4 linked regions of the Struthio camelus genome follow. The protein of the gene in region 3 purifies or fractionates together with the protein of the main gene of each other region. This does not show direct contact. Links are inferred from orthologs where the notes say so. Each region holds a gene or a part of one and is shown on either strand. Other genes may lie near its edges. The genes, in order: HNRNPR, MRPL1, YBX1 and nuclear cap-binding protein subunit 1.

Region 1 (7,301 bases), on a different chromosome or scaffold from region 3:
CAATTCCCCCTCCCCCATGCTTAAACAACTCAAATGGTTCAAATAGTATTTTTCCACCAAGAAAAAATGAATTAATATACACCTGACCATGATAGCATTTGGCATATTAAAACAGAAACTTGATCTCAGCCCTTAACAGATAATCATTGATGAAACCGCCATAGTGTTATTATCTCCTATTTTTTATACCATCCCTCTAGAGGCTGCCACCCTCAGACTAGCTGAGCATACTTCCATCCAATTAATTATAAATTCAGTCTAGTTAATTCAAAACATGTTCAGTAACAGCTTAAATGAGCAGAAATGGAAACTTCTGGCAGAAGGACAATAATATTTTAAACTACTATAACCAACTTTGCAGTGATTATCCAACAATACGGTTCTCAGCCTTCTACTGTTTAACTTTGATTTTGCAAAGGAACTAAACTGTACTTGTTTAGCAAAGGTGGACAGGAAGCATAAGTCATACATAAAAACTCTGCACCAAAGCCATTTCAAGTTGCTTATGTTACTAATCCTCCTATTGAATACATAGCCTGCAGGGTCTAAAGAGAAAAAACAATAATTAGACTACATTAAAAATAGAATTGGGGGAGGGGGGGGATGTTAGACTGAGTCTGATTTTTTTTTTTTAAATGAACCTCAAGAAAACAAATTTAGTCCCCAGAAAAATATCATCAGTCTTGCACTTAAGGTTTCTGTCAAAACACGAAGAAATTTATGAGCAAGGGGAAGAAAGGATCTTAGATTAGGAAACTCAACTGGGAGTTTATTAAAACCTCACTTGTTCACAAAAGTGACTAGCATATCCCTTAACATTTCTTTGTGCGAGGATTATAGCCATTTCGTTTCAACTATAGCTTATTCAATCACGGAAAGCGTATTTTAGTAGTTTAATTATATCATACTAATGAACATTTTAGTATGTCATATAAGAAGACTTGTTTTGAAGTTATCACATCTTTAGAAGTAATGGCCTTTACACATTAGCAAAGTTTTCTTACCAGCATCTCATTGACAGACTACCTTTACAACGATGAGTAGTTAGCACCCTCACCCCTCCAGCACAGTTTTGTCTTTCCCATTCCATAATGCCATGGAATGAAAAAAAAAAAAAAAAAAAAAACCTGAGAACCTCCATCATTATCCTAACCAAAAGACTAGCACAGTCCCCACAGAAACTACGCTTCATTACCTATGCAAGTATAAGCAGTCCCTCCATCAAGAGATGACTCTACCACAACAGGTTAGCAATGTGCACAAAAGCCATCAGTGCCATTAAAATACAGCACTGACTGATTCAGTACCTACCACGTTTTGCTAACCTGAGCTATAAAAATCTACGTACCCTAATTTCTACCTGGAGCTGGCCTTTTATGGCTCACCTGATTGTCTGGGTTGTACAGAACAACGTCCATAACATTCTAGTTCAAAACAACACTTCAGCAAAAGTGAGCATTATTCTGATGAACTTGTCCTTAGAAAGTTTTGCAGATCTTTGTCTATGAGAGCAGGGAGCATTGCTTCTTTCGACAAAACTATTGAGTATTAGTGGGAGGCTCAAATATTATCCCAATAGGGATCACATCTAGATAAAAAACTGAGAGGTAAGGATATTAAACACTCATGGAAAAATATAGTTTCTAAGATAGAAAAATGTCATCTAGCCTCTGCTAGTTTGCAAACATTACAGTTTACATAGTGAAATTACACTGTAAAACTCTGGTTAGATGGTCTTTACTTTTAGAAGACACATAAAATAATTCAGTGCTATACAAAGTATAATCTTAAACAAAAAAAAAAAAACCCAACAACTTCATATACATTAACTCCCTTTGCAGCCCAAAAATATCATGCTGGTAGGATCCTTCAGTGAGATACTGGGGGGTGGGCGGAATGCAAGCAACTTTCCTCAAAGAAAAGCTTAGTCCAGTACAGCTCAAGTATATGATTAGCCACGTCCAAGAATTAATAGGTAACAAGGTCGCTAAGATCCAGTAACTAGAACCACGTGAAAAAAAAAAAAAAAAAAAGGAGGGGGATTTAAAAAAGGCTTCGTTTAAGGTTTGGTAAAGATCTTTTGGTAAAGAACACTTAAGAAAACCAATGTCCTTGCAACAATGCTTCCTTCAGAGCATTTAGCAAGTGTTACTGTCTCAAACAAAATACTAAGTGCCAACCTGAGAGCTGCGAGAAGATGCAGTGCAGTTCTCCCTCCCTACAGCCAGCAGTATCAAAATGCGCTCTACAAGATTTCAGAGAGTTATTCATAGCGCTGGCAACAGCGATGCGTTTTCTGTCAAAGTCTTTTCCAATTCCCCACACGCATAATGCGGCACAGATCGGACAGTAACCACGACAGCTGCCTATCAGGGCGTCTGAGCTGTTAAAATACTGTTTTTCCACACTGCCCAAGAGGGGATCGAGAAAGGGCTTAACTCCCAGCGCAGAGGGACACACGGCAGCCATCGTTAGCAGTACCGCAAGAACAGCTCCCGCCACGCTTCCTCCCCAGCCACATGCAAGGCTAATCCGCAAGGCCGGGCGGAGCCAGGGCGGCCTCCGGCCGCGCTGCCCTCCCCATGCAGGGCCCGCGCCGGGCCGCCGGGCCGTCCTCCCCCCCCCGAGGCCATAGGGCCCGCCCCCGGCCGCTCCCCAGCACCCGCTCCCGCGCGCGGTCCACCCGCCCGCTCCGCCGGGGCCTGCGCAGCAGACACCGTGCCCGGGCACCAGCGGCGCCGCAGTCCCGCTTCGCCTACGCGGCGCGGGCGCCCCAGGCCCGCCTCCGTCAACGCCGGGCCTAGGCGGAGCCCGCGCCTGCCACCCCGCCGCAGGGCCTGCCCGCGAGCCCGCTCCTCCTCCCCCGACCGAGGCGGCCCCCCGACACCATCGGCACCCCCCGGAGACTAACCGGAGCGGGGCCTGCGCGGCGCAGCTCGGGCCCAAGCAGCGACGGCAAATGGCGCGCGCTCCTCCTTCTCCTCATGGACGGCGACGCGACCCCGGCAACACGCGGGGTTTCCCGGAACTGTTTCCAGGGACCGCTGCTTCACCCACTCAGGGACTCGCACTTCAGACAGGCAGCCGGCAGCGCCTATGAGAAGCGGGAGGCGGGTGGCGCAGCTATTCCCAGATGCCAATGAGAGGGAGGCTCTATAGCCAATCGCGCCGCGCTTTCAGCCCGGCGCGCCGGCAGGGACCGAGCTGGGGGGATTTAAAGGGGCAGCGCCGCCCGTAGCCTTGCGAACAAAGGGAGCGGGACGGGTGCGCGGGGGGCGTCCCGCCCTGGGCCCTCGCGCGCCTGCGGCCGGGCCCCGCCCCCGGCGGCCGGGCGTCGCCTGCGCGCCAGGGCCTGCGGCTGGGTGCTGCCCGAGGTGGCTCATCCCGGGTGGTGACTGGGGCCCTGGGGCAGACAGCCACCGGCTGAAGGCGTTGCCCGTCGGGGTTAATCCTAGCCCTGAGGCCGGTGGGTGTCCCGGGGGCCGCGTGTGAGGAATTCACAGCGCGGCCCGGGCCCTGCCTGCGGGAGGGATTGCTGCCTCAGCCCAACGGCTCTGATTGAGGCCTGCCTCATGCATGAGGGACCAGGGCCCTAGTATTGCCTCTCCTGGAGGCTGCTTCTTGTTAAATTATGCTTTCTGTGCAAATGCTGCTTTTCTGTCTTGAAGAATTTGCTGTCCGTATCCTGCTGCTCCAGTAGTTTTTCCTTGGCCATGTAGGTCTATCCAGTAAAGTCCTGCTGGCTAGCTAAGATAGCATGAGGTTTAGCACAGCACTATATGTCAGTTGTAGGGTTTTTTTTTTGTTGCCGGGTGAAGCCACTGGCCATGCTAGGAAAGACTGGTAAGCTTTACTGGAGATGAGAGCCAGCCTGCATTGATATTACTGGTAAGTTAATCTGAGGCCGTTAGTAGATTTGGCTTCCAGGTCCGGAGTAAAGAGGGAAAGGTGTGTAGCAGCAAGAATCCTGGTTCAGAGCCTTCCCTGAAAGGATATCTGTGTGAGGTATGCTGGTTTCTAGATAATTCATCTGTGATTATATGTAACTTGCCTGCTTACCTGGTCTGTCTGCTTGATCAGTCTATTTGATGGGTGTAGACCTGATGCATTAAATACACAGTTCTGTGGGAAGTCAGCTTCTTGGCTGTGATGTTGTTTTTCCTAGGCCACAAAGTGTTGTGCTGACTTCCATTTCCTCAGCCTACAGTTGCATGACATGAGAATAACTGTTTTGTGCTTTGAGGTCAAGGTGAGTCCCAGAATATTGTGTGAAAGTGAATCCAGAGCATCTATGTACATAGATGGCCAGGTGAACCATCACTCTTGAGTCTGGTAAGTAAAGAAAAACAGTAGCCTCTCATGCTTTCAGAAGGTTCTTCCAACAGTTTAATGACAAAGTGACACTCTTCAGAAGACTGCATGTATCTGTGCAATGTATTAAGTGTGCATATTTCCATCGCCCTTAAATGGAACATAGATAAAAACTGTACATGTTACCTGCTGTAAATGAAAGAAGCTTTTTTTGAGCCAGAAGCCAGAAGTGAACTCATACAGATATCAGAGGTAAGCAGTCTATCTTGTTGAACCTGTCTCATGGCAGACATGCTTGTTCTCTTGTGAAACCTGTACTGGCTCTATGAATTCTATCTCCAAATTTGGCAACAGTGACAGCTTTTCTTTGTTGAAGGTAGGGTCTAGTGTGGCATAAAGATGCAAGGGAACATTATTCATTGCTTCATCCATACAAGTTCACTGCAGCAGTTGATCCGACTGTTTGGGAGTCAAGAATAATAGGTTTAAGGAGTTCTCCCAGCACAAAATTTGAGAGAAATTGAGGGATGTTTACATGCACATCTGTCACTTCAGTGGTGCTTAATAAACATTCTGCAAAGCTCTTCAAAATATCTTATGATGTCGCATCCAGGAGTGAAATACAGAGTACTAACATACCTACTGTTAGCTGACAACTGAACATGATGAGACTAGAGCAAAATTTATATTGAGGTAGGTACACTTTTAGTAAAGTAATTTCAGTTGCTAAGCACTACCAAATCTTGGTAGATTCAGGAAGAATCAGGAAGATTTCTAAGGTAGTCATTGTCAGAAATGCCTTTAAGGCTTTTAATTTGGCACTTTTTCATCATTTCTGCATGGGTGTTTTCCAAGGGTAATTAATTGTATGCAGGTAGTTGTGAGCATTAGCAGGCTATGGGCTTTGGGGTGGGGTAGGGGTTTTTGGGTAGTTCTCATTTCATAATCAGAATTCATATTGATATTGTGTTAAGCCTGCCATGTCTTTGCCAGAACAAGACTTTAGCATGCTATTTTCCTGCTAGGAGATTATTAATTTCAGCCATAAATTGGTGTTCATAGGATAGAATTTGTAATTAAACATGGTTTGACAGCATGAACAGCAAAAACAGCATGAAAATCATCTACGATGTGATGCATGCTGCTGTAATGGATCTGACCTAATTCTGACATGAAGCCACAACTGCTGGTATGTTTGTGGTTATCAACCTATGATGAATCATACCAGTCTCTTCCCCCAGTTGAAGATGGTCCTTCTCTCCATTTTCACCCATGGAGGTTCTTTCCTTGGTGGTTTCTTTTTTTTTTTTTTTTTTGGGGGGGGGGGGTCTTCTGGATGCTTGACTGTTAGAGGCTTCTGGACATGAGAAGAGAGCATCTGCTGTTGTATTGCCATCTAGTATAGAAGTACTAGAGCTTCATGCTGGCTGTAGATATCTCTAGTCCCTTGGCTTTTGGACTGGGTTCTGGTACATCACTCCAGTATATCTATTACCCCCGCTAGCATCTGCATGTGCTTGGGCAGCTGTTCAGCTTTTTGGTCTCGTGCTCCATACAATAGCCTCGACCAAAAAGATCTAAACACTGAACATCTCTAGACAGGAACAAGCTATGGCCTGCAGGTAGTAGAGTTCAGTGCCAGCCAGCAAGCTGGGCCTGAAAGGAGGTCCTAGATGGTCTGGAACAAAGAGTAATTTCAAAGAGATATTGCTAGAAATTCCTGGAATTATGCTATTTACAGCTCTGTGTGGTTGAAAACAAACAGATGCACGCAAGACCTGAACTATTCCTGGGCCAAAGCAAGGCAGAACAAAGACCACCTTAGAACCAAGAAGGTGGTTAATCTCTGCTGCAGGGAGCTGGCTTGCATCAATCTGGAAAGACAGGCAACAAAACTTGCTGCCTCACGGACATTCTACAGTCCTTATTTATCAATGAGGAAGCCCCCAACAAGTTCCACTCCTTAAAGCAGGGAAATGCTCAGGAAAATGGCTGCCTAGGGATGCCATGCTGCTAGTATTACCCTGTTAATTTCTGCACATAAGTTTATTTTGCCTTGCACAGAGCCAGTGTCTTTGATTTTAGGGAAATAATACATTTTAAATATAAGCATTTGCTCTGTCATACCTCCTTCCCCTGTCTGTTCTGGAGTGGGGAGGGCTAGAGTGACAAAACAGCCCAAAGAAACCAGAATGGGTAACCTGCGGACCTTGCACTAAAACAGCTTGTTGAAGACCTTGGATACATCAAAGGGAGGCAATTTTATTTACTAGAATTCATTCCTTCATGGTAATACAAGTCAATGCAAGCAGATTGAGCAGGTCCTATCAATTTAGAGGCAAGGTTTCAGACTCTCTCTCTCTCTCTCTCTCTCTCTCGTTGCTTTTGCCCCTGCCCCACAGCCAAGGAGTCTTAGCAATTTCCATCAGATTGTGCAGGATGCAGCCCAAATTAAGCATCTTGGGAAGAAGCTTGTGCATAGCATCATCTTCACAGTCTTAACACATCTCAAATATCAGCTCCAAGTGCTGGCGCTCAGCACCCGAGTTGCCTCAAAATAGTTGACAATTAGGGAGTAATGGTTTCTAAAAGACAACTGCCCCCTGTCCTCCACTGTCACACTGGATTCCAGAACTCCTGTTCTGAACTCCACTAACTTGGAAGACAGGAATTTCTCCAGGCCTGGTTCTATATCCTCCTTGCAATCCTCCCCTATCAAATGATAAATGTTTAGTCCCCTACTTGTGCTTTTATTCACTGCTACCAGGAAATCACCCCTTAACAGGGCAGCAGAGACCTATAACCATCTTAGAGATAGTTGATTCATACAGCCCCAGTGCCAATACAAACAGGAGGCGATGTTTTAGTCTGCAACAAACTACAAGCACTGAAGCAGCCACGGTCCATAGCTGGTATCTCCTTTTCTGCTGTTGTGGAAACAGTTCAACCCTAGGTTTCCAAGGAGCAGAGTCTCTCACACGTATAGCAGC
Region 2 (7,477 bases), on a different chromosome or scaffold from region 3:
CGATTCCTGACAGCCGCCAAAGAAACGGAGAGGGCAAGAGATGTCACCTAGCACAGAGAGATTCACCGTGCTTTCTCTGATTTCTTCACACCCATGTCTTCTGAAAAACTTTAGAGACATGAATCCAAGCCAGGTAACCAGACAGCAGTAAGGCACTCCCTAAACAGCCAATCTAAAAATTAGGGTCTTCCAGCTTAACTGGAATGCCATGCCAAGGTAACAACTCTGCTCTGAATTCGAAGCCAGTCTGTCACACAGACCAGGAGCGGAACAGCTGCTACTACAGTTGTGAAGGTAAGTAGAAGCATCTTCCAGGAATCACTGAGGATGCCAGTAACTCTTTCCTGCAGTCATGTAATTTGGTACATGCATGAACCCCAGAGGTTCCAGGAAACAGAGCATAAAATAAGGTAAAATAAGGTCCTTTCTATGTATTTCTTCCTTCTCTGTATATACTTCCCTTCCACTGACTCTTGATTTAAAAAAAAAAAAAAACAAACACACACCCACACCCACAAGTGGTGTACATTCAGCATTCCCAACCGTAGCAGCAAAACCATCACATGGGAATAAAAAACAGCATACTTCCAAAGGGCATGACTAGCAAAAAAGAACAAGGTGTGGACAGAGATGGGAAAAATGTGTTTGTCTTTACACTTCTCCCCATACCAGTTATTCCCACCAATACCAGTAAGCTTATAACTACAGAGCTATCAAACACAGTATGGGTGAAAAAGCATTGGAAACATTACAGAAAAGATGCATGTCATGTTATTAAAAATGAGCACGTTTACAAGTTAAGTTGAAAGCCCTAGACAGACATAAAGCTTATTTTGATCACTTCTGCTTGGACTTGAGTTGCAGTCACAGGACAGCCTGTCTTCAGATGTGTTCATGACTCCATCCTCACTCCATGAATCTGAGGGATGTTTATTGCATACACGTGGGTCAGGACTCAGTGTCACCTGCAAAAGTGCTTAATATTCTGACAAACAGGGAAGCTGCAGGAGACAGCTGAGAAGGCCAACATCAACGTTTACACTACACTTAAAACACACCCTTGCAGCGTTGACATGAAAATTTGTAACCACTTCCTATTTACCTTCTTCTGTAATGCCATATCCAGAGTTATGTTAACATACACATACTGTTTTGGGTAAGTGAAGTCCAACTCCTGAAATTTCTTTAGCATACCCACAGCCACTTCTACATCATAGGATGGCCGCTCATAACACCATGTTAAGTATACATCATCCACTGGCTTGCTCATCAGCGGCTGTCTGATAGTTCTCTTTTTCTTTTTTGTTTCTTCCTGCTTAGGCTTCTGTGAACTTTTCTTTGCAGTTCTGAGACAAAGCAAATAAAAAAAAAAAGACATATTAGCTCATCAACCAAAGCATTTGGCACATGTTCCAAAAGCAACAGATACCATCATGTGTCAGTTACTGCCTAATCATTAGTTACCATGATAGGCACTGCACACAGAACCATGAATAACATGCCTAAATTAAGCTTAATAATGCCTTCTTTTCAGATGTCTGAAACAGAAATCAAACATTCAAAAATGAAAAGCTGTGAAGAGAACTAAGCACCACAAACAGTATAGTCACATTTGTGCAGCACCCAATCGAGTCAATAAGCCCTTAATGTATCAAAGCAGAACCACTTTAAGACAACACACAGACCTTTACAGGTCTTGCCCCAACAGGGCTTGTACCAGGCATTGTGCCTGGGTTGCTTCCGAATCTCAGTAAACCCTACACACCTTCCCAGTAATCAGAAAAAGGCCCATCAGCTGTGGTGCAGGTTTTGCCCCCCCCCCCCCCCCAGTGCAACACAGCAGTCTTGCCTTCGCTCACAAGGGAGGTTCTTCCCTTTCCCCAGATCGTTCTATACATGCTTAATGAGTAGAAGCCCCAAATCTTTATTTTGCTACCTATTTTAAAACACTCGCAAACCAACAAAAACAAACAAACAAAAAGTTACAGGAATAGAAGAGTACTTCTATTTGAAGAGCTCTCTGTTCCAGTTTGAACTATAGCGAAGAGGTAACAACACTTCAGAACACTTCACGTGCAGTATGCTTCACTGTTCTGCACACAGAGTTAATTTTTCCTTCTTCTACTTATGCAGTAGTGTCATACTTAAAGAAACAGTAAGCAAAGCCGTGAAAAACAGATGGAAGGGAAAAGATGAATTGTTTGAAACCAATTTCCTAAGCTCCCTAGCTTTCATAGTGACACTATCCGTTTAGCTGTAATTCAGCCATACGTTCTCAAAAATACACTACCAATAAATGGAATAAGTCTTTCCCCAGAGCTGTTACACATGGTATTTCAAGAGCATCAGTAAAACCCTCTGAGGGGCCCCAGCTCGGCTGTTCTCCCCCCAGCCCGGCTCCCTGGTCGACAGCCGCCCGGAAGGAGCCCCTAACGCCGGCTCGGCCGTTACAGCAAGGCCCGAAGCACCACCGCGACCCACCGAGGCGCCCTTACACGGGGTTTTAGGGGCCCGCCCCGCTGTCGGACGGAGACGCACTCACTTGGCGGCAGCGTAGGGCCTGCCGAGCGGCGGGGCGGCCGGGAGGCACCGCTGGAGCCCGAGAGGAGGCGCCCCGCGACGCGGCGCCAGCACTGCGAGAAAACGCAAAAGGGAAAAAAAAAAAACAAACGCCTCAGACGGGCCCGGGGCCTCCCGCGGGCAAACGCCAACAGTCGCCCGCCGCCCCTCACAGCACCAGCCCCCACCCCCACCGACCAGGTGGCTGCCGCAGGCCCGAGCCTTACCCCCCCCCCCCCCCGTTACAACCGCGAGGCGGCCGAGCCCCATCACCTCGCCACAAGCAGCGCCCGGCCGCCCCCGCCGCCGCCATCTTGCCGGGCCGCCGCGGTGCAGCGCGCAAAGCGGTCCCCGGCGGCGGGCGGAAGCGCCGCCGCGGTGCCACCTCCATAGCCGTCCGGCGCAGCTGGCCCGAAGCCCTGGCCGCGAGGGCCGCGGTCGGCTTGGGCCGGCCCAGAGCGCTCGCGGGGCCGGGGGGGGGGGGCGGGGGCGGGGGCGGGACAGGGCCCTCCGCGCCTGCAGCGGGGCTGTGAGTGAGTGTGAGTGTGCGTGTGTGAGCGTGAGTGTGCGTGTGTGCGTGAGCGTGTGTGTATGAGAGTGTGTGTGTGAGTATGAGTGTGTGAGAGTGTGTGAGTGTGGTGACACAACTCTGTGTGTGCACGCGCGTGTGTGTGTGCATGTGTGCGTGTGAGAGAGTGTGTGTGTGTGTGTGGTGACACAACCCCATGTATGTGTGTGTGTGGTGACACAAACCCATATGTGTCTTGTGTGTGGTGACACAGCCCTGTTTTGGGGGGGGGGAGGGTGAAACAACTGTGTAGTGACACAACCGTGTACAAGTTCTGACAAAACCCCATGTGTGTGGTGACACAACCCCATATGTGTGCACGTGCAGACAAAACTGTGGTGACACAACTCTGTGTGTGTGTGTGTTGACTCAACCCCAGTGTGTGTGGTGACACAACCGTGTCTGTGTGTGTGTGTGGAGACACAACTGTGTGTGAAATGCTCCTGTGTGTGGTGACACAACCCTGTGGGGGGAGTGTGTGACACAACTGTGTGTGTGTGAAATGCTCCTCTTGTGTGTGGTGACACAACCGTGTATGTGGTGACACAACCGTGTCTGTGTGAAATGCCCCCGTGTTTGCGCTGACACAACCCTGTGTGTGTGTGTGGTGACACAGCCCTGTGCATGGGGGGGTGGTGACACAACTGTGTAGTGACACAACCGTGTACATGTGTTGACACAACCCTGAGTATGTGTAGTGACACAACCCCATATGTGTGTGTGTGTGTGCAGACACAACTATGTGGTGACACAACTGTGTGTGTGTGTGCGTGTTGACACAACCCCGTGTGTGTGTGTGTGTGTGTGTGTGTGTGTGTGTGTGTGTGAAACGCTCCTGTGTGTGTGGTGACACAACCCTCTGTGTGTGTGTGTGTGTGTGTGTGTGTGTGTGCAGACACAACTATGTGGTGACACAACTGTATATGTGTGTGCGTGTTGACACAACCCCGTGTGTGTGTGTGTGTGTGGTGACACAACCGTGTGTGTGTGTGAAACGCTCCTGTGTGTGTGGTGACACAACCCTCTGTGTGTGTGTGTGTGTGTGCAGACACAACTATGTGGTGACACAACTGTGTATGTGTGTGCGTGTTGACACAACCCCGTGTGTGTGTGTGTGTGTGTGTGGTGACACAACCGTGTGTGTGTGTGAAACGCTCCTGTGTGTGTGGTGACACAACCCTCTGTGTGTGTGTGTGTGTGTGTGTGTGTGCAGACACAACTATGTGGTGACACAACTGTGTATGTGTGTGCGTGTTGACACAACCCCGTGTGTGTGTGTGTGTGTGGTGACACAACCCTCTGTGTGTGTGTGTGCAGACACAACTATGTGGTGACACAACTGTGTATGTGTGTGCGTGTTGACACAACCCTGTGTGTGTGTGTGTGTGTGTGTGTGTGTGTGTGTGTGTGGTGACACAACCGTGTGTGTGTGTGAAACGCTCCTGTGTGTGTGGTGACACAACCCTCTGTGTGTGTGTGTGTGTGTGTGTGTGTGTGTGTGTGTGGTGACACAACCGTGTGTGTGTGTGAAACGCTCCTGTGTGTGTGGTGACACAACCCTCTGTGTGTGTGTGTGTGTGTGTGTGTGTGTGTGTGTGTGTGTGTGTGTGTGTGTGTGTGTGTGTGCAGACACAACTATGTGGTGACACAACTATGTGTGTGCATGTTGACACAACCCCGTGTGTGTGTGTGTGTGTGTGGTGACACAACCGTGTGTGTGTGAAACGCTCTTGTGTGTGTGGTGACACAACCCTCTGTGTGTGTGTGTGTGTGCAGACACAACTATGTGGTGACACAACTGTGTATGTGTGTGCGTGTTGACACAACCCTGTGTGTGTGTGTGTGTGTGTGTGTGTGGTGACACAACCGTGTGTGTGTGTGTGAAACGCTCCTGTGTGTGTGGTGACACAACCCTCTGTGTGTGTGTGTGTGTGTGCAGACACAACTATGTGGTGACACAACTGTGTATGTGTGTGCGTGCTGACACAACCCCGTGTGTGTGTGTGTGTGTGTGTGTGTGTGTGGTGACACAACCCTGTGTGTGTGTGTGTGTGTGTGTGTGTGCAGACACAACTATGTGGTGACACAACTATGTGTGTGCGTGTTGACACAACCCCGTGTGTGTGTGTGTGTGTGTGTGTGTGTGTGTGTGTGTGTGGTGACACAACCGTGTGTGTGTGTGTGTGAAACGCTCCTGTGTGTGTGGTGACACAACCCTCTGTGTGTGTGTGTGTGTGTGTGTGCGCGCGCAGACACAACTATGTGGTGACACAACTGTGTGCGCTGACACAACCCCCGGTGTGTGTGAGTGAGTGTGTGTGCGCGGCCGCCCGCCCCCGCCGTTGAGAGCGGAGCCGCCGGGCCGGGCCGGGCCGGGCCGGGCGCCCCCCGGGCCGGGCCGGCAGCGCGGAGGCGGCGGCCTCCTCCTGCCCCCCCCGCCCCGGGCGGCCCCGGCATCGCGCCGCCGCCCGCCTCCCGCCGCCCCCGCCCCCGCCCGTCCCCACCTCCCGCTCCTCCGCCCTCCGCGCCAGCCCAGCCGCGGCCCGAGCCCGCCGCCGCCGCCGCCGCCGCCGCTCCCGTCCCGGCCCGGCCCGGCGCCGCTCCCCGGCGGGCCGCCGCCTGCATGTCGTGGCTGCCCGCCGCCCCGCCGCCCTGCCGCCACCACCGCCGCCGCCGCCGGCCCCGCCGCCGCCCCGCCGCGCTGCATGCAGGTGAGCGAGGAAACCCCGCCGCCATGTCGGGCCCCGCCAGCCGCTGCCAGCACCGGGGCCAGCACCCGCCGCCGTGTGCGCGGCGGCCGCGCCGCCTCCTCTGCGCCCGGACTGTGCGGGGTAGGGGGGAGAGCCTCCCCCCCCCAACCCCCAAACAGCGGCCCCCCGGGGGGCGCCCCAAAATGGGGGGCGAGGGTGGGGGTGGGGGGAGGGAGGGAGGGAGGGAGGGAGGGAGGAAGGGGCCGCGGCCCCCCCCCCCCCAGCCCGCGCCCGAAATGGCGGCGCCCGAGCCCGGCGCCACCGCCGCCTCCCATCGCGCTATAGGTCCCTTGGTCTATAGGTTACAGACGTCTCACTCGGCGTCGGCCCGCGGGGAGGGAGAGGCTTTTGGGCCGGCAGCGTGCCCGACCCCCCCCCTTCCCTCCCCGCCCCCCCCGCCGAGTCGAGGCTCGTTTTGTGCCCCCCCCCCCGAGATGCTCTTATCATGGCTTTTTTATTTTCTTTACCCCCCCCCCCCGCCTCCCTTAACCCACCTCTTAGTAGGGCTAAAGACGTCTCGCCTTCCGTAAAAGCGAGCTCGGGCGCTAGCGCTTGTAAATAACGCCTACGAACGCAAAGCGTGTTTTGGTTTTTGTTTTGTTTTGTTTTGTTTTTCAGCAGATTATTTTATTTCATTTTATTTTTAACTCGCGTACCCTTGGTAAACACGGCAGAGGCCTCGGCGGCTTTCTGGCTGTTGAACAGCCGCACCGAATTTTATCTGACCCGCTTAAAACCTCCGGGCGAGCAGCCTTTTATCTGCCGGTTTTTGAAACTTTGAGCAGACGGAAGTGTTCGCTTGCGGAGTTAGGACTTCTCGTCGCCTGGCCCGCTGAGGAGGGTTTTACGCGGAACGGAGGGCGGCCTCATCTAAGCAGAGGGTTTTCTTAAGATGGGATTTCTGCCTGCGTTAAATTTATACCTGCATCATCCTCGGTCTGCAATACTCTGTTTTCAGCTTAGCACAGATTCGTTCCCCGGCAGCCTAAAACTAACCTGGAGGGGAAAACACCTGATACTGAAATCGCTCACAGTTACACTTTTGGTGTGCGTAGACATGGTTGGTAGTGAAAACGATGGCAACATGTCTGTTCTTAGCCTCTGCCGCTCCTTTGGGATGTTTTTGCCCCGGTACTTACAAAAAAAAAAAGAGAAAGTACATTATTTCTAATAACAAAGTCTTTGCTGTGACAAAAGTCAGGGAATTCCTAGAAGCTGTATGAGAGTCTGGAGTGCCAAAAGCTTTGACAAAGACGGGGTATGGCCTTGACAAGTATAGCGCTGTCGCTGGTTTTGTTTCCGTATTGTCCCTATCAAAATACGAAGCGATGGTGAAGCTCGTATTAACAACTGTTGATCTTCCAAAACATAGCCTATTTTAGGTGCAGTCACGTGCTAGCGGCGCTTCAGAAGAGCGAAAGGCACGCTTCACATCTGAGGTTTACTTTGTGCTGCGTACGAGCACAGAGGCTCGATCCGACTTCCTGTACGTCGCGTTTTTTGTTTCCACAGCACTACGCTTCAGACTGCTTGATCCCTTATTCAGGGCGAGCAGGGTAGCGGGGACTCTCGTACTGTAAGCAGCTGCCTTCAGCTTTCC
Region 3 (6,993 bases):
GGAATGGACTCTTCTGGCTAGCAGGGCTTATAGCTTCTTTAGCCACGTGCGTTATCTCTGTTCAGTTCAGTAGGGGACGTTTCTCGTGTGTGGCATTGAGGGGCGTTGCTGCTGGGCGTTCACGAAATGGGAAGAAAGGGGTCTGAAGGGGTGAAAGGAGCATGGCAGAGCTGTGCTACACCAGCTCTTTTCCCACCAGGTAAATAAGGCTGCCTGGCAGAGAGGTTCGTGGTATCCCAGCAATCTTAGAGACCTTTTGCATTCAGCCTTCTCGAAGCACGAGAAATAGGTATGGCGCAAAGGCTTCAGCAGCACGAGCTTGCTGGGCTCTGTAGCGGTATAGAAAGCCAGAGGTGAGTTATGTTGTAAACAAGCATTTGTAAAACCTCCCCAGCATATCTCAGTGCTAGGCTGTGGGGATGATATGTTTTAGGGCATGTCTTTTAGCGGGGAGCACAACAGGTCTTTGGGCTGGGATCTGGGGAGTGATTATGCAGCAGGCGGAGAAATCTGGGCTCCTTGTTCCCCTTGGTGGCAGGGCTGCAGGCTGGTGGGAAAACTGCCTTCCTCCTCTCGGAGACCAGGGTTGCAAGCTCATCTCCCTGCTGCGGGATGAGCTTCGAGGTGAGTTTTCTCATCTGGCGGATTAAATATAAAGGAGCTTGGACAAAGTCTCTTTTGTCACGTGCAACGGCTCCAGCCCATCCTGATTTGCCTCGTCACTCCTTGGGCAGCAGTCTGCTTTATGGCCTTTGCCTAAGGTGTATTGTGCGGGAAGGAGCAGTCTGCACACTTGGCTTGTGCGTTGCTTGGGTGTATTAGATAGCAGGCAGTAATGTACCGGAGGACAGATCCTGCAGGCAAGCTTTGGCGTGCTCTTTTTATCTCCTGGCTATTTAAAGTCTTTGGAGCAGGCTCTGGCTGTCAGGATTTCCATGTCCCAATTCCTGGGATTGCTTGGCTGCAGAGGACGTTTGCCCTCCCTCCTCCCCAGCCCGAGTCATCTCACCTTCTCCTTCCTGTGGTACATCAGGGGATGAAGGAAACATAAAGCGTGCCATCCCTTTCCTCCCCAGGCCCAAACAAACGGCTTAGGGCTCTATCCTATGAGTTGAGGGTTTGAAATTCCCCACACGGAGGAGAAGACTGGGCCCAGATAATAGCTATGAGGTAGTGGTGGCTGAAAAGACATAAACTTACCCGTTGTTCCTGCTCAGGGAACGTGTTCAAACACCCCTTCCCCATGGGGTTGAGGCACGAGCTTAGCTCCAGGCTGCTCAGGGAGCTCTTTTCGCCAGCTGCAGTGCGGAGGGTCGCAGTTCTGGCTGTGGATACTCAAATTCACCGTGCTTTTTCACCAGGGAAACCAGCCTATTTCTGGGTCCAGGCTCAGCAGTGCTTTCACAGCCTGATGTATTTATATCGCTGTGATCAGCTAGTCTCACTTCCCGCATAGCGCTGGTCACAGGACTTCCCCAAATTAATATCCAGCAGTGGCAAATCCATCGCAACCTCTTTGGAAGTTGTTCCAGTGGTTAATTATATCCCCTGTTTACAATGCATGTCTGTCTGTGACTCAACGTGTCGAGCTTCAGCTTTCCAGCCTATGGATCTTGCTGTTCCTTATCTGCAGGTTGAAAGCGCTCTCAAATACCGCCGTTTCAGGTTTAATTCCCAGTGACAAAGTTGCCCTTCAGCCATGTCATGCTAAGCAAATCCTGGAATCTCTCGCTGTAGAGCAGATGTTTCCATCTTGTGATCACTCTTCTCTCTCTGAGCTCCAGCATCTTCCTTGAACTGTGGACAGAGCAGTCCACAGAGCAGTCCGGTTCTTTACTCATCTGAGGATCAGATTAACTTCTCGGTCCTGCAGTGTTGCCCCCCCAAAGACTGCCGTGTCCTGGAGTAAAGTCACTAGCCATTGGGAAGGCCACGTTTTCTTCTGTAGGTGCAAGGCCCTTGCATCCTTGCAGGCTTTATCATCGGGATTTGAAAACATCTTCCCAATCTTTGATAAAACTGATAAATAACTAACTAAATAAGAGTCCTTGTAGGGTCTCTTGCCTGGTGGACTCCCATTTGCCATTACGTTTTAAGACATGTTTTTTAATTGAATTACTAAGCATCATCCTGCTTTGATATCTTTCTAGTTTCTTAATCAGGGTCGTGACACTGAGGCAAATGCCCTGCAGAAGTGCTCTTAACGCTCTTCCCTGCCTTGGCAGAGCTGGAGATCTCACGGAGAAGATACCAAGTTGGTCTGATGAGATCTATGTCCGTAAACCCCCATCGGCTGGCGGCAATTATAGTGCTCTCTGCAAATCGTCCGTTAATCAAGGCCTGTATCAGCCGTCCCTTTATTTTGCCTGGGAATTGCCGTCAGACCGGCCTCTAATTACCCAGGTTTGTGGTACGTATGCACTGAGGTGCCCTCCCTGCCTCGCTCACGTTGTCTATGGAAGATTGCCGGCCATGCAGGGCAGCCTGAACCAGCGGGAGCAGTCGCGGGCTCCAGGTCCGCCCGTCGGACGTTTCAGGTCGAGCAGGCTCTTCGCTGAATCCTCGAGAGGCGAAGGCTGTGGGGCTCAGCGAGGGCGAAGCTGCCACGTGGCCAAGCAGAGAATTAATCCTCCCTTCAGGGTAACGTCTCCGCGGGAGATCGGCATCGCTAAGCGCTACCTTACCCGAGCCCCGCAGGCGGCTGTGGCGCAGCGTCGGCGGCCGCGGCCCCCGGCTCGTCCTTTTGGCCCTGGGATGGGGAAAGCCGATGCTGAAGGGTTGGTGCCGGGGGGATGCTCGGCGCACGAGGAGGCTCGTTTTCCCTGCACCTTCCTTTTGGAGAGTCCAACGGGTGCTTTCTGGGATCGCTCTGAGCCGCTGGAAGGCAAAGATTAGGGATGGAGACAAAACATGGTCATTTGAGCAAGGCTCCGTGAAGATAAAACACCCCACGCCGACGCTTTCCGCAGTCCCTGCCCGGCGAGGAGACTTTGGTGGGGGCGAGCTGATGCACGACCAGGTTTGAAGGGTGCGTCGGGCAGCTCCCGCCTTTCGGCGGGCGACGCCGGGCCCGTTTCCCCCCTCCTCGCCGCGGGAGCCGGCGAAGAGCTGCCGACCGCTGCCCGCCGCCTTCCCGCCGCGGGGCTCGAGACCGGGTCCACGGCGTCGCTTCGAACGCCGACCGCGGCGCTTTCGCAGTTCGTTATCCGGCAGCGCGGCGGTCCCTGGGAGCACGCTATTTCTCAGGAGGTTGGATTATAACGCTTTAACTGCATATAATTATATATTGAAAAAAGCTTTGTCGTGTCTCCAGATCCATTATTTTCTACTTTTAATTAACACTCGCAGGCTTGTTTCTTGAGACGACGACGACGATGATTATTTTTTTAATGGGAGCTGCCTGCCTCGGGGGAAAAGCTGGGATTGCATCTCGCTCTTGTAACAGGGCGGCAGGCGGGGGCAGCACGTCCGCTCACTTTGTCCCACATTTTTCAAGCGAGGCGAAATGCCACCGGTGCGTCCTTTGGAGCACGGTCCGGTGACATCCCGGGTCTGGGACCGGGGGCGACGGGCACCGACCGGGACCGGCACCGGGGACAGCGGACGGGGTCCGGGTCCGGGTCCCGGTGCCGGTCCGGGCAGGGGGCGCGGCGGCGGCGGCGGCGGCGGCGGCGGCGGCGGCGGGAGGCGCCCGCGGCCACGTGGTCTCGGGCACTTCCCCGGCCTGGCCGGGGGAGAGGGGCGGGAGCAACGGCGGAGCTGACCAATCCGCTTGCGGGGGCGGGTCCCGCCAGGGGGCTGGCAAGAAAAAGGAGCCTGGCAGCTCCGAGCCAGAGCAGCCAATGGGCTTGCGGCTTTGGTAAAGGGCAGGTGCTTCCCCCAATAGGAGCTTTAGCGCCGGCCGCGGGGTGGAGGGGAGAAGGCCAATGAGCTCGCGCGCTGCCGAACGGGCAGGCCGCTCGGCGAATGGCCGCGCTGGGGGGCGGGGCGTGCGGAGTGGCTAGCCGGTGCGGGCCGCCATTGTGGTCAGTTCGATCGGTATCGGGAGCGGAGAGCGGAGCTCAGCGAGCCCGGAGCAGGGAGCAGCCCCCCCCCCCCCCCAACGGCCGGCCTCAGTCACCATCACACCGCGGGAGGCGGCGCAAACAGCTAGTCACCACCACCGTCCGCACCGAACAGCCGCCGCCATGAGCAGCGAGGCCGAGACCCAGCCGCCCGCCGCCCCCGTCCCCGCGGCGGCCCCCGCCGCCCCCGCCGACTCCAAACCTAACGGCGGCACCGGGAACGGGGCCAGCGGCCTGGCCTCGGCGGCGCCTCCCGCCGGCGGGGACAAGAAGGTCATCGGTGAGGGGAGGGGTCCGCGGCGGCGGTGGGGAGGGAGGGCCTGGGCGGCGCGGCGCGGCCCCCCCCTTCCCCTCCCCCACCTTCTCCCCCCTCAGGGCGGCGCGAGCCCCTGCGCGCGCGCGCGCGGGCGCGGCCGTTGGGCGCCTCGCGCGCGGCCGTTGGGCGCCCCCCCCCCCTCCCCTCCCGCGCGCGCCGCCGGGCCCCGCGTGGCGGCGGCGGCGGCGGGTGGGGGCGGGAGGGGAGGGGCGGAGCGGGCGCGGAGCGACTCAAAATGTCCGCCACGCGGGGCCCTTTGTGTGAGACCCGCCCCGCCACGTGCCGCCGGCAGCGCCGGGCCGGGCCGGGCCTGCCCGCTCCGCTCCTCTCGGTTCGGCTCCAGCGGGCCGAGCGGATGGGGGGGGGGGCGGGAGGGAGGTGATGATGAGGGTAGTGAAGGGCGGGGGGGGGAAACCAAGCGAGGCCGCCGCGCCGGGCCTACCCGCAGCTTACGGCTCTTTCTCTCTGCCTCTTCTCGCAGCAACGAAGGTTTTGGGAACAGTGAAATGGTTCAACGTAAGGAACGGTTACGGCTTCATCAACAGGTGAGGCGGGTTTTGGTGGGGAGGGGGGGTTCTCCTTGAGGCCGCCGGGCTCGGCAGCTTGCTTGGAGTTTTGTTCCCCTCTGAGGGAGTTCTTGCTCTGGGAAACGGCTCTCCTGTCCCCGCTCCCCGCCCCGAGCACGCGCCCAGTTTGTTCTGGCGTTCCTTCCTAGGTGTTTAGCGCGGCGGGGCGGGGGGGGGAACTCTAACAAGAGCTCCCCTTGCCCCCACCAGCACCCCTGAGAAGTCCTAGGAGGGCAGCAGGGTTTCTTGCTGGAGTGTGTGGAGAGAGGGCTTTTTTTTTGTTTTTATTACTAGTGCTATTTTTTTCTTCAATGAGCGTTGCTTTGACTTGCCCTCTGGGCCAAGCAGACGTTGGACCCAAGATCAAGTGTACTTCTGAGTAACACGTGCGTGCTGCGCGTGGTTCATATCTGGTTGTTTTACGCTGGGGCACTAGGCTCGTATAACACCAGGGGCTGCAGATAAACACCTTTATCACTTCTAGTGCCTGCTTGGTGACACTTTCCAGGAGCAACTGATAAGGTGTGTCCTACCTCTGTTGCATGATCATTCACCCTTACTGTGTGTTTGTTTTGTTCTTTTTTTTTTTTTTAAAAGCACTTCAGCGAGGCTCTTACCAAAAGGGATGTAGTGGATTTGTTTTCGTAGTGCTACCTCTTATATTAAGTGTATGTGTGTTTTTTTTTCCTTTTTTCTATTAGAGTATAAAAATCAACTGATGTGCACAAAATATTTCTTTAGCTTCTGTATAGAGTTCAGTAACATCAATGCAAGCAATTGTTTGAGACACTAGGTAGTTGCTCTCTTGAGGGAACTCTGAATGCCTGGGGAAATGTGTAAAACTCATTCCTTATATCATGAAACTAGAGCATGTAAGAAATTCTCAAAAAAAAAAAAAAAGATGCCTAAAAGATTCAGCGATTGACTTGAGAATTTCAGTGCTTAGTTTGAGGTGTTTACCTGAACTCTTAACATAGCAGTGAGCTGTCTAGTGATGACTTGGCAGAGGTGTGCTAGAATTGCTCTACAAATCAGTTCTGGAAAAATGTAATGTTCTTCTACCAGTCTGGAGTGCTTCAGTGCGGTTTATTTTTTGGAGGCCATAATATTAAAAACTATTGTCCTTAAACACCTAATACCACTTCCTTCCTTTGGAGCGAAGCATCTATTAGAAACTTAATTAATGGGGTAAGCCACAAGATACCTGTAGTTCCTCCTATAGGTTGTTTTTGCCTTTCTAAACAGAGGGCTCTCGAATGAGAATAAGCGTTGCATGTAAGCTCTAGCAAGTTAAGACTGAAACAAGTTGAAAGATGTAATTAGAGCTGTGAGCCCTCAAAACAAATGTTTCAGAAATTGGCAAAAGACTTGGAAATCTTTACTCGGGGATGCAAGCAAAGGTATTGGGGATTTTATTGGGTTTTTTATTTAGATTTGCTTTAAGTATTGCCCTTTTAGCTCTCTGTGTTACTTTGTGACCCAGTCTTAAGTATCTACCAAGCTCCTTACTTGGTTTTGTGTCTGTAACTTTAAAAACTTGACTCTGAGTCTGCCCAGTTTAAGTTAAATGCATTCTTCATGTGTAGTTTGAATGTTAAGTATTGAACAGTTGTCAGTATTACGAGCTTTAGCATCTGTGACGTTTGTAACTGGCTATAAAGTCAAAGGGCACAAACTCTACCTCTAGGGAAGACTTTTTTCCTGTTCCACTCAGTGGTGGAAATGCTCAGTTATGTGAGTCAAGCAAGGAAGTAACAGCAGGTAGTTAAGACATCTGAATAGTTTTCCCACTCATATTAATTTGGCAGCTGTTTGATCCCTGAGGTTGCCATTTTAATGAGAAACCCAGCATGATCTCATGTTATCGAGAGATTAGAGCTGCAGTCTGAGAATTGAACTTGAGGACATTTCCACAGCTCAGGAATCTCTCTGGCTTGCTTTAAGGAAGACATTGCAAGAGCTCCTGATCTTGCTTGTCTTTGCCTCAACTGGGTCTGCTTGCAGATAAGTTCAGCTTGGATAGGGGTGCATATTAGCTTCAAATATT
Region 4 (6,976 bases), on a different chromosome or scaffold from region 3:
TCAGCTGCTGTGGGAAACATTTACTGTTTGATTTATGTTTATGAACAGTGCTACAAAATGGATTTGAAAGATTCCATGCAGCTATAACACAAGCTGGCACCGCATCCTCCCCCAGCGTGGTATACTATTGTGGACCCCACACAACCCTCTCCTGGGACACGTGACCAGTGACCCAACACACAAAGAAGTTTTGTTTCAGTGCTTTGCTAGGGAGAAGAAGGAGTGCTGCTAGCCAAGGAAGGAGCCTACTTCTGGCTACTTTGTCTCTCCACTACTAGATGGTGGGCTCATGGAGACAGGAGCACCTCAGCCCCAGAAAAGGGGAATAGGCAAAGTAGGAATACAGAGATAAGAACTGGCACTCAATCGATTTGGTATTTTTTTAGTGACTGTTGCATTCAGAAACAAGATACTACCCAGCATATTCCCCATGGCAGTCAGAAAGCAGCTCTGGGGTCTACTCTATCTGCTTATGACCTTGTGCACACATTTCAAGTGAGAGTACTGTACAGAGGCATTTTCCTTGATTTATATCTACTACTGACTAAGCTTCTTCTCAAATTTCTCTTGCCTGGAGTAAGACAAACCCTAAGCTATAACAGTGTTCAAGAACTAACAGCTCTTCACAGCATTTAAAGTACTTAAAATACTTAAACTTATCTATTTAATATAGATAACAGAGCATCTCACAAATCTCCTGCATACGTACACAGTACAAAGAATTCTCAAAATCTTGCTTTTATAGTTTGGTAGATCAGCTTCCAAGACACCAGCTAGGCCCTCCAAGTTGCTCTCCAGAGAGGAAGTACTCTAAGAAAGAAAACAGTGTTTCCGCATCAATCAGGCATATCAACTATCCCCTCAGTAACAACTGGAAGACAAGCAAATCAGATGAAACAAAATATTACTTCACATTTTCTTCTTGTTGGAAGTAATTATTCAAATCCATTAGGAATGCACAATCTCTCTCATTTGCTAGAAATAAGAAGTAGAAATGACTAAGAACAGTCTCAATTGTGAGTTCTCCACAGCAAGGAGCTCTAGTGCTTTCCTGGGAAGCAAGGGTTAACATAGCCTCAGAGATCTCTCAATAACTGAATTAAACATTATATTAATGACATCAGGGGAAGTGAAAGAACTTCACAGCTTGTATGTGGCTAAATTAATGTTAAGACCCATCATTTTTGTCCTCATCCTTTTTTCTCTCCACTTGTTACTAACACCAAACCCAGCCAGGTTCCAAGATCAGTTGTAACACGGCTAGACTTTTTTCTTTTTTTTTTTGTACGCATCTCATTGCTTTCAAATTTTCCAAGGAGTAGGGGGAAATTAATGATAATGTTCACAGATTTTGAATGATACCTCTTTATTAGTTATACTTCACCAATGTATCAAAGGTTTAACATTTAAGAATTTCCTTTTTAAAAATCCAGTTTTGCAAAGGCCAACAATTTTCCAGTTAAAAAGTTTCCAACTGATCTCAGATAAGGATTTTCTCTTTTTGGACCACTAGTGAACTACTAACACATAGCAGCATATAAAACAAAGAAAACAATCTATTATGTTTAAGGACCCTAAGCCACAAAACAACATGGAAATAGTACTGATACCTTTTCTCCCACCCTGCATATTAAAGATTCAAGTCTCTCCTCGATTTCAGATGGCTCAGATGTTCTCCTCCTTTTGTGAGGTTGCCCTGTTTCAATACATTAAATATGTTATTAGCTGCCTGCTTTTTAAAAAAGAAAAAAGTTCTCTATATACTTTTGCCATTCCAGCAACATACTATTAAAAACAAACAAACAAAAAACCCCAAAACTGACAAAGCATTCAAGATTGACCCAATAAACATGAAAAACAGAAGTATACCCATATTACTGATGACCTAGTCCATGAAGCATAAACAGTTAACATTGTAGCTATCTCAAATTTTATTTAGGGTTAATTCTGCATTTCTGCTACAGTGTGAGACAGTATATGTGGGATAAGCTAAACCCACATTAGAGTTACCAGCTATTTCATATTTCCTTAGTGCTTTTTCACATGCTTTCAGCATATGAAAAAATAAAATATTTTAAGAATCCTTGCTTATATTATTAGGGTTTTTTTGAAAGCTTAGAAAAAGACTGCACATCAAAACAATTAAGAAAAAAGAGTGTAGTTAAAAAACACATAGAGTGTTTTTTAGAGTGTTTATCTTTGCAATTAAAAGTTGAAAAAGCTGGTCATGAAACTGTCCCATTCTCCACTAATGCAGAATTACGTTATTAAAAGAAACATCCGTTTCAGTTTCTGAAGCCGTCTCTAGTCCTCCAATATGAATGTTTTCTGAACGTTTTTCATGAAAGCCTTTACAAGATACAAGAACATGTCCTTCTGGCGATCCGTACGCAGCGCAGCGTGCTCCGATCAGTTTGCTACTCCCTATATTTAGGGCGGACCCAAGAGACTGCTTAGGGACAGTCTGTAGCCCTAGTTACACAAGCCAGGTCCTTACACCAGAGCGCCCCACAGTGGCGCCAGGTTGTCCCCAGCCAAACAGCTAGGAAAGGCGGCCCAGGAACGATCCTGCACCCCATGGAGCGCCTCACTACAGCGTCCCGTAGGGCGACGAGCAGGACCAAGTCCTGGCAGAGGGACAGAGTGAATCCCTACCACCCCGAGTCTAAGGCAAGGCAGCGCCGCGGGGGGGGGAAGGAGGAGGAGGAGGAGGGGAAAAGGCACTTCAGCTGAGATCTGTTCCTCCCCCAGCCCCAAGGACGACGCGGCCCCAAGCACAGGGCATGCGGAGTCCAGACCCTGGTACTCCATCCATCCACGCTTACCATCACTCTCGTCACTGTGCCGCCGCCGTGACATATCAGCACTGCCACTGCACAAAATCTGCAGAGAAGCAGGAATACCGTACCCCACAGCAGGAGGCAAGAAGGAAGAGCACTATATAGAGACTATGCAACAAGGATCAGAGTATTTCCCTACTTCCTGTTTGCCTCAGTCTTCTTCCGGGGTAAAAGAGCAGGAGGAAAAGCTACTGTCTTCTCTTCTCCTGACTTCCGCAACTCTATGGGAGTGGGCGCTGCTCTACCTGCTTCTCCATAGTACTAGGAACTCGGATGATTTCTAAAATGGGGAAAAGAATAGACACAAAGTTAGTTAATTATCGATGAAGTGAAATTCACTTATTCCATCTGGCTCGCACCTAGCCTCTCTTGAAGGCTAAGACGGCCCACCATGCGTGTGAATTGCGCACTGTGGGCCCCACTCTTGGGCTGTCTTGCTGACGCCTGGTGGCATGTATATTACCTGAGCCGCTGGATCGAGAATGCTGCTGGGTCCCTCCCACGAAGCGTTTCCAGGGCGATGGAAAAGTGATGGATGCAGGGATTGGGGAGATGTGTGATTCTCCCTGCTGAGTGAGATGAGATCTCAGACGTGGTACTTTGGGGTGCAGTGCTAACACTGCACTAAGCTTAAGCTCCTTCCCCCTCCCCCCCGCTGGAGACTGGCCCCACGCATTGGTGAAAGCAGGCCAACAAGATCCAGGTACAGCCGTATGCATCCCTGCTGTCCCTCTACAATCAAATGGCTGGAGAGACCACGTGCCCCTTTCTTCAGCCCCCATGTCATCCCCCAGGGGCATGGGAGAGCCCTGCAAGTACAGGGAGGGGTACCTCCTTGCTGCCTCCAGGAGGGGGCACCTGAGAGGTGGTGCCACGTCGGGCAGCCGAGGACTGTTGGCCACTGGAGAGGCTGTGTGAGGCCGGAGTTGTGATTCAAATGTAACGCTTAGTTGTCCCGAGGATGGGGAACAGGCACTGCTGACCTGTCATCAACTTGTGTTCCTGCACACCTTGATTATGCAACACATCAGAGCATTGCTTCCCTCCTGCCACCCTAAAGTAAATGGGGTACATTTCTCCAAGGCTGCTGCCTGGGATTAGCTGATTCTAAGGGAATGTGTGCCTCAGACTGGCTGGGATTGCACTGGGAAGTGTGCATTTCTGTGAGCTAAGCAGTCAGGGTCCAGTAGTGGTTTTGTATTGCCTCATTGCTGAGAGTCCCAGGAAACAACAGGTACAAACAGGAATGTGACGCTCCCAGGAAAACACTTTGAGAGAAAGAAGGTGTTATTCCTGAGGGGCTTGGTCTTGTCCTCAGTATGGAACGGTAGTGTCAGCCCTGCCTAACCTGGCCCTGCTTGCACCCCTGTTCCCAACCTTGGGATCCCTGATAGGTAAACTTGAAAGCATCAACAGAAACAGCATCTCTGATGGGCAACTATTTATTTACCCAAACAAGCTTATTTAAGTACCACATGGGTTATCAGGATTTCTCTTTTATCTAGCTTTGGGCCATCAAAACAGTTAATTGACAGGATCCAGGAAGCAACATAAATCCTAAGAGATTATATTTGTGATATGTTTCAGGCATTTTCCCTGTTTGTGGCTGACACTTCCTTTGCTCTGATAACTAAGTGCCCTGCATCCATCTTTGGAGATAGAGTATGGTGGAAGTGCTGCAAACATTTAAAGACCTCTCTAGTACTCACAGACATGTTGCTACACAGCATTCCACTGACACTGGGCAACAAATAAGTTTAATTTTAAGATGGTTGACGAAGCTAGTACATCATTGAGTAACCCAGCTTCTGCAGACGTGGCAAATATGCTAAGTGGGCACACTCATGGCAGTCCCAAGGTTTCTGGTAGGCTCCCAGACACAAGCCACATTAGCTTTGATGATCTAACAAGGTAAGAAAATCCCTTGACAATTTGAAAAACTTACTTGCTGTAAGCAGGCTTGCATCTGGCTCACATCTCACATCACCTTGCACAAGTTTAACTTTGTATTTTTTAAAATGAAATTTAGACAAGTGAAACTTAGAGGTATAGAAAAGACCTTAGCTTTAGATCTTCCTTTACTCAGCTGGTTTAGATCCCCTCTAAGATTCATCCAGTTTCCTTGAACTCATTCCTACTCTTGAGCACCTTTCACAACTGCTTACACCTGCACAAAGCATTACTGCTGTGCTGATACAGAAGCATTTGCCTCCACTTTATACTGGTATAATCAATGCCAAAGATGGGGGTTTTACAGGATCAAATCCCCAGAACTGTATTTTTCCTGCAGTGTCAAAGCAGACCTGTGCTAGTGTTGCTCTACACCTCATGTCCATAAACAGACACTCAGCAAGGAAAGCCAGCAACAGGAGGGAGTAGGAATAGTAGGTCATGCTCTACATAGATCGCTTTTCTCCTCCCTTGCAGGTATGTTAAGGGCTCCTCAGGTATGAATAAGTAGATGGAGAAGAATCTTCCTACACATGAGAGTCCAGCTTGTACTCCTCAGAATGCAACCAAAATCTATCCCTTTGAACAATTGGTAGCTTATAATTTAGATAATTCAAGTAATTGGATTCTAAGGATACAAATTTTTCAAATGTAGCTTTTAATGACACACTAATCACAGAATCACAGAGTAGTTGAGGTTGGAAGAGACCTCCAGAGAGCATCTGGTCCAACCCCCCTGCTCAAGCAGAGTCAGCAAGGATGGAGACTCCACAACTTCTCTGGGCAGCCTATTCCAGTGTTCAATCACCCTCACAGTAAAAAAAGGGTTTTCTTATGTTCAGATGGAACTTCCTGTGTTTCAGTTTGTGCCCATTGCCTCTTGTCCTGTCACTGGGCACCACGGAGAAGAGTCTGGCCCTGTCCCCTTGACATCCTCCCATCAGATATTTATACACATTGATAAGATCCTTCCTGAGCCTAATCTCTAGGCTAAACAATCCCAGCTCCCTCAGCCTCTCCTCATATGAGAGATGCTCCAGTCCCTTAATTTTTGTGGCCCTTTGCTGGACTCTCTCCAGTAAACCCATGTCTTTCTTGTACTGGGGAGCCCAGAATTGGACACAGGACTCCAGGTGTGGCCTCACCAGGGCTGAGAAGAGGGGAAGAATCACATCTCTCAACCAGCTGGCAACACTCTGCCTCATGCACCCCAGGATCCAATTGGCCTTCTTGGCCACAAGGGCACATTGCTGGCTCATGGTCAACTTGTGGTCCACCAGGACTCCCAGGTCCCTCCCTGCAGAGCTGCTTTCCAGCAGGTCAGCCCCCAGCCTGTACTGGTGCATGGGGTTATTCCTCCCCAGGTGCAGGACCCTGCACTTGCCTTTGTGGAACTTCATGAGGTTCCTCTCTGCCCAGCTCTCCAGCCTGTCCAGGTCCCTCTGAAGGGCAGCACAGTCTTCTGGTGTGTTAGCCTCTCCCCCCAGTTTAGTATCATCAGCAAACTTGCTGAGGGTGCACTCTGTCCCATCATTCAGGTCATTAATGAAGATGTAGAAGAAGTATTGACCCCTGGAGGACACCACTAGGGACTGGCCTCCAGCTGGATGCTCTGCTGATCACTACCTTCTGAGCCCATTTTCAATCTACCTCACTGTCCACTTCTCTAGCCCATACTTCATCAGCTTGTCTGTAAGGATGTTATGGGAGACCATGTCAAAAGCCTTACTAAAGTCAAGATAAACAACATCCACTGCTCTCCCCTCATCCACCAAGCCAGTCATCTCATCATAGAAGGATATCAGGTTGGTTAAGCATGATTTCCCTTTTGTGAATCCATGCTGACTACTCCCGATCACCTTCTTGTCCTTCATGTGCCTGGAAACGGTTTCCAGGATTAGTTGCTCCATCACCTATCCAGGGATCGAGGTGAGGCTGACCAGCCTGTAGTTCCCTGGATCCTCCTTCTTGGCTTCTTGAAGATAGGTTTGTTATTTGCTTACTTCTAGTCCTCAGGCCCCCTCCCCCCATAGCTATGACCTTTAAACGATAATTGAGTGGCTTCACAATGACATTGGCCAGCTCTTTCAACACTCTCAGGTGCTTCCCATCAGGGCCCATGGACTTGCGTCTATCCAGTTTGTTTAAGTGGTCCCTAATCTGATCCTCCTCCACCAAGAGAAAGT

Evidence for each region.
Region 1: the proteins of YBX1 (region 3) and HNRNPR purify together in Homo sapiens (co-immunoprecipitation; 5 studies listed by BioGRID and IntAct, with this or other methods). This does not show direct contact. The link is inferred for Struthio camelus from reciprocal best matches to the Homo sapiens genes YBX1 and HNRNPR.
Region 2: the proteins of YBX1 (region 3) and MRPL1 purify together in Homo sapiens (affinity purification with mass spectrometry; 3 studies listed by BioGRID and IntAct, with this or other methods). This does not show direct contact. The link is inferred for Struthio camelus from reciprocal best matches to the Homo sapiens genes YBX1 and MRPL1.
Region 4: the proteins of YBX1 (region 3) and nuclear cap-binding protein subunit 1 purify together in Homo sapiens (co-immunoprecipitation; 3 studies listed by BioGRID and IntAct, with this or other methods). This does not show direct contact. The link is inferred for Struthio camelus from reciprocal best matches to the Homo sapiens genes YBX1 and NCBP1.

Annotation. Positions count from the first base shown.
Region 1 is NC_090964.1:2,706,112-2,713,412, forward strand, and holds the start of HNRNPR (heterogeneous nuclear ribonucleoprotein R), read right to left. Parts: upstream 3,021-7,301; 5' UTR 2,987-3,020; coding exon 2,912-2,986; intron 1-2,911. UniProt on the Homo sapiens protein: Component of ribonucleosomes, which are complexes of at least 20 other different heterogeneous nuclear ribonucleoproteins (hnRNP). hnRNP play an important role in processing of precursor mRNA in the nucleus.
Region 2 is NC_090945.1:6,149,152-6,156,628, forward strand, and holds the start of MRPL1 (large ribosomal subunit protein uL1m), read right to left. Parts: upstream 3,014-7,477; 5' UTR 2,951-3,013; coding exon 2,833-2,950; intron 2,634-2,832; coding exon 2,543-2,633; exon of another isoform or gene 2,496-2,542; intron 2,144-2,495; exon of another isoform or gene 2,003-2,143; intron 1,347-2,002; coding exon 1,103-1,346; intron 1-1,102.
Region 3 is NC_090962.1:12,631,876-12,638,868, reverse strand, and holds the start of YBX1 (Y-box-binding protein 1), read left to right. Parts: upstream 1-3,986; 5' UTR 3,987-4,187; coding exon 4,188-4,344; intron 4,345-4,861; coding exon 4,862-4,925; intron 4,926-6,993. UniProt on the Homo sapiens protein: DNA- and RNA-binding protein involved in various processes, such as translational repression, RNA stabilization, mRNA splicing, DNA repair and transcription regulation.
Region 4 is NC_090981.1:12,383,280-12,390,255, reverse strand, and holds the start of nuclear cap-binding protein subunit 1, read right to left. Parts: upstream 3,015-6,976; 5' UTR 2,860-3,014; coding exon 2,826-2,859; intron 1,697-2,825; coding exon 1,611-1,696; intron 811-1,610; coding exon 710-810; intron 1-709. UniProt on the Homo sapiens protein: Component of the cap-binding complex (CBC), which binds cotranscriptionally to the 5'-cap of pre-mRNAs and is involved in various processes such as pre-mRNA splicing, translation regulation, nonsense-mediated mRNA decay, RNA-mediated gene silencing (RNAi) by microRNAs (miRNAs) and mRNA export.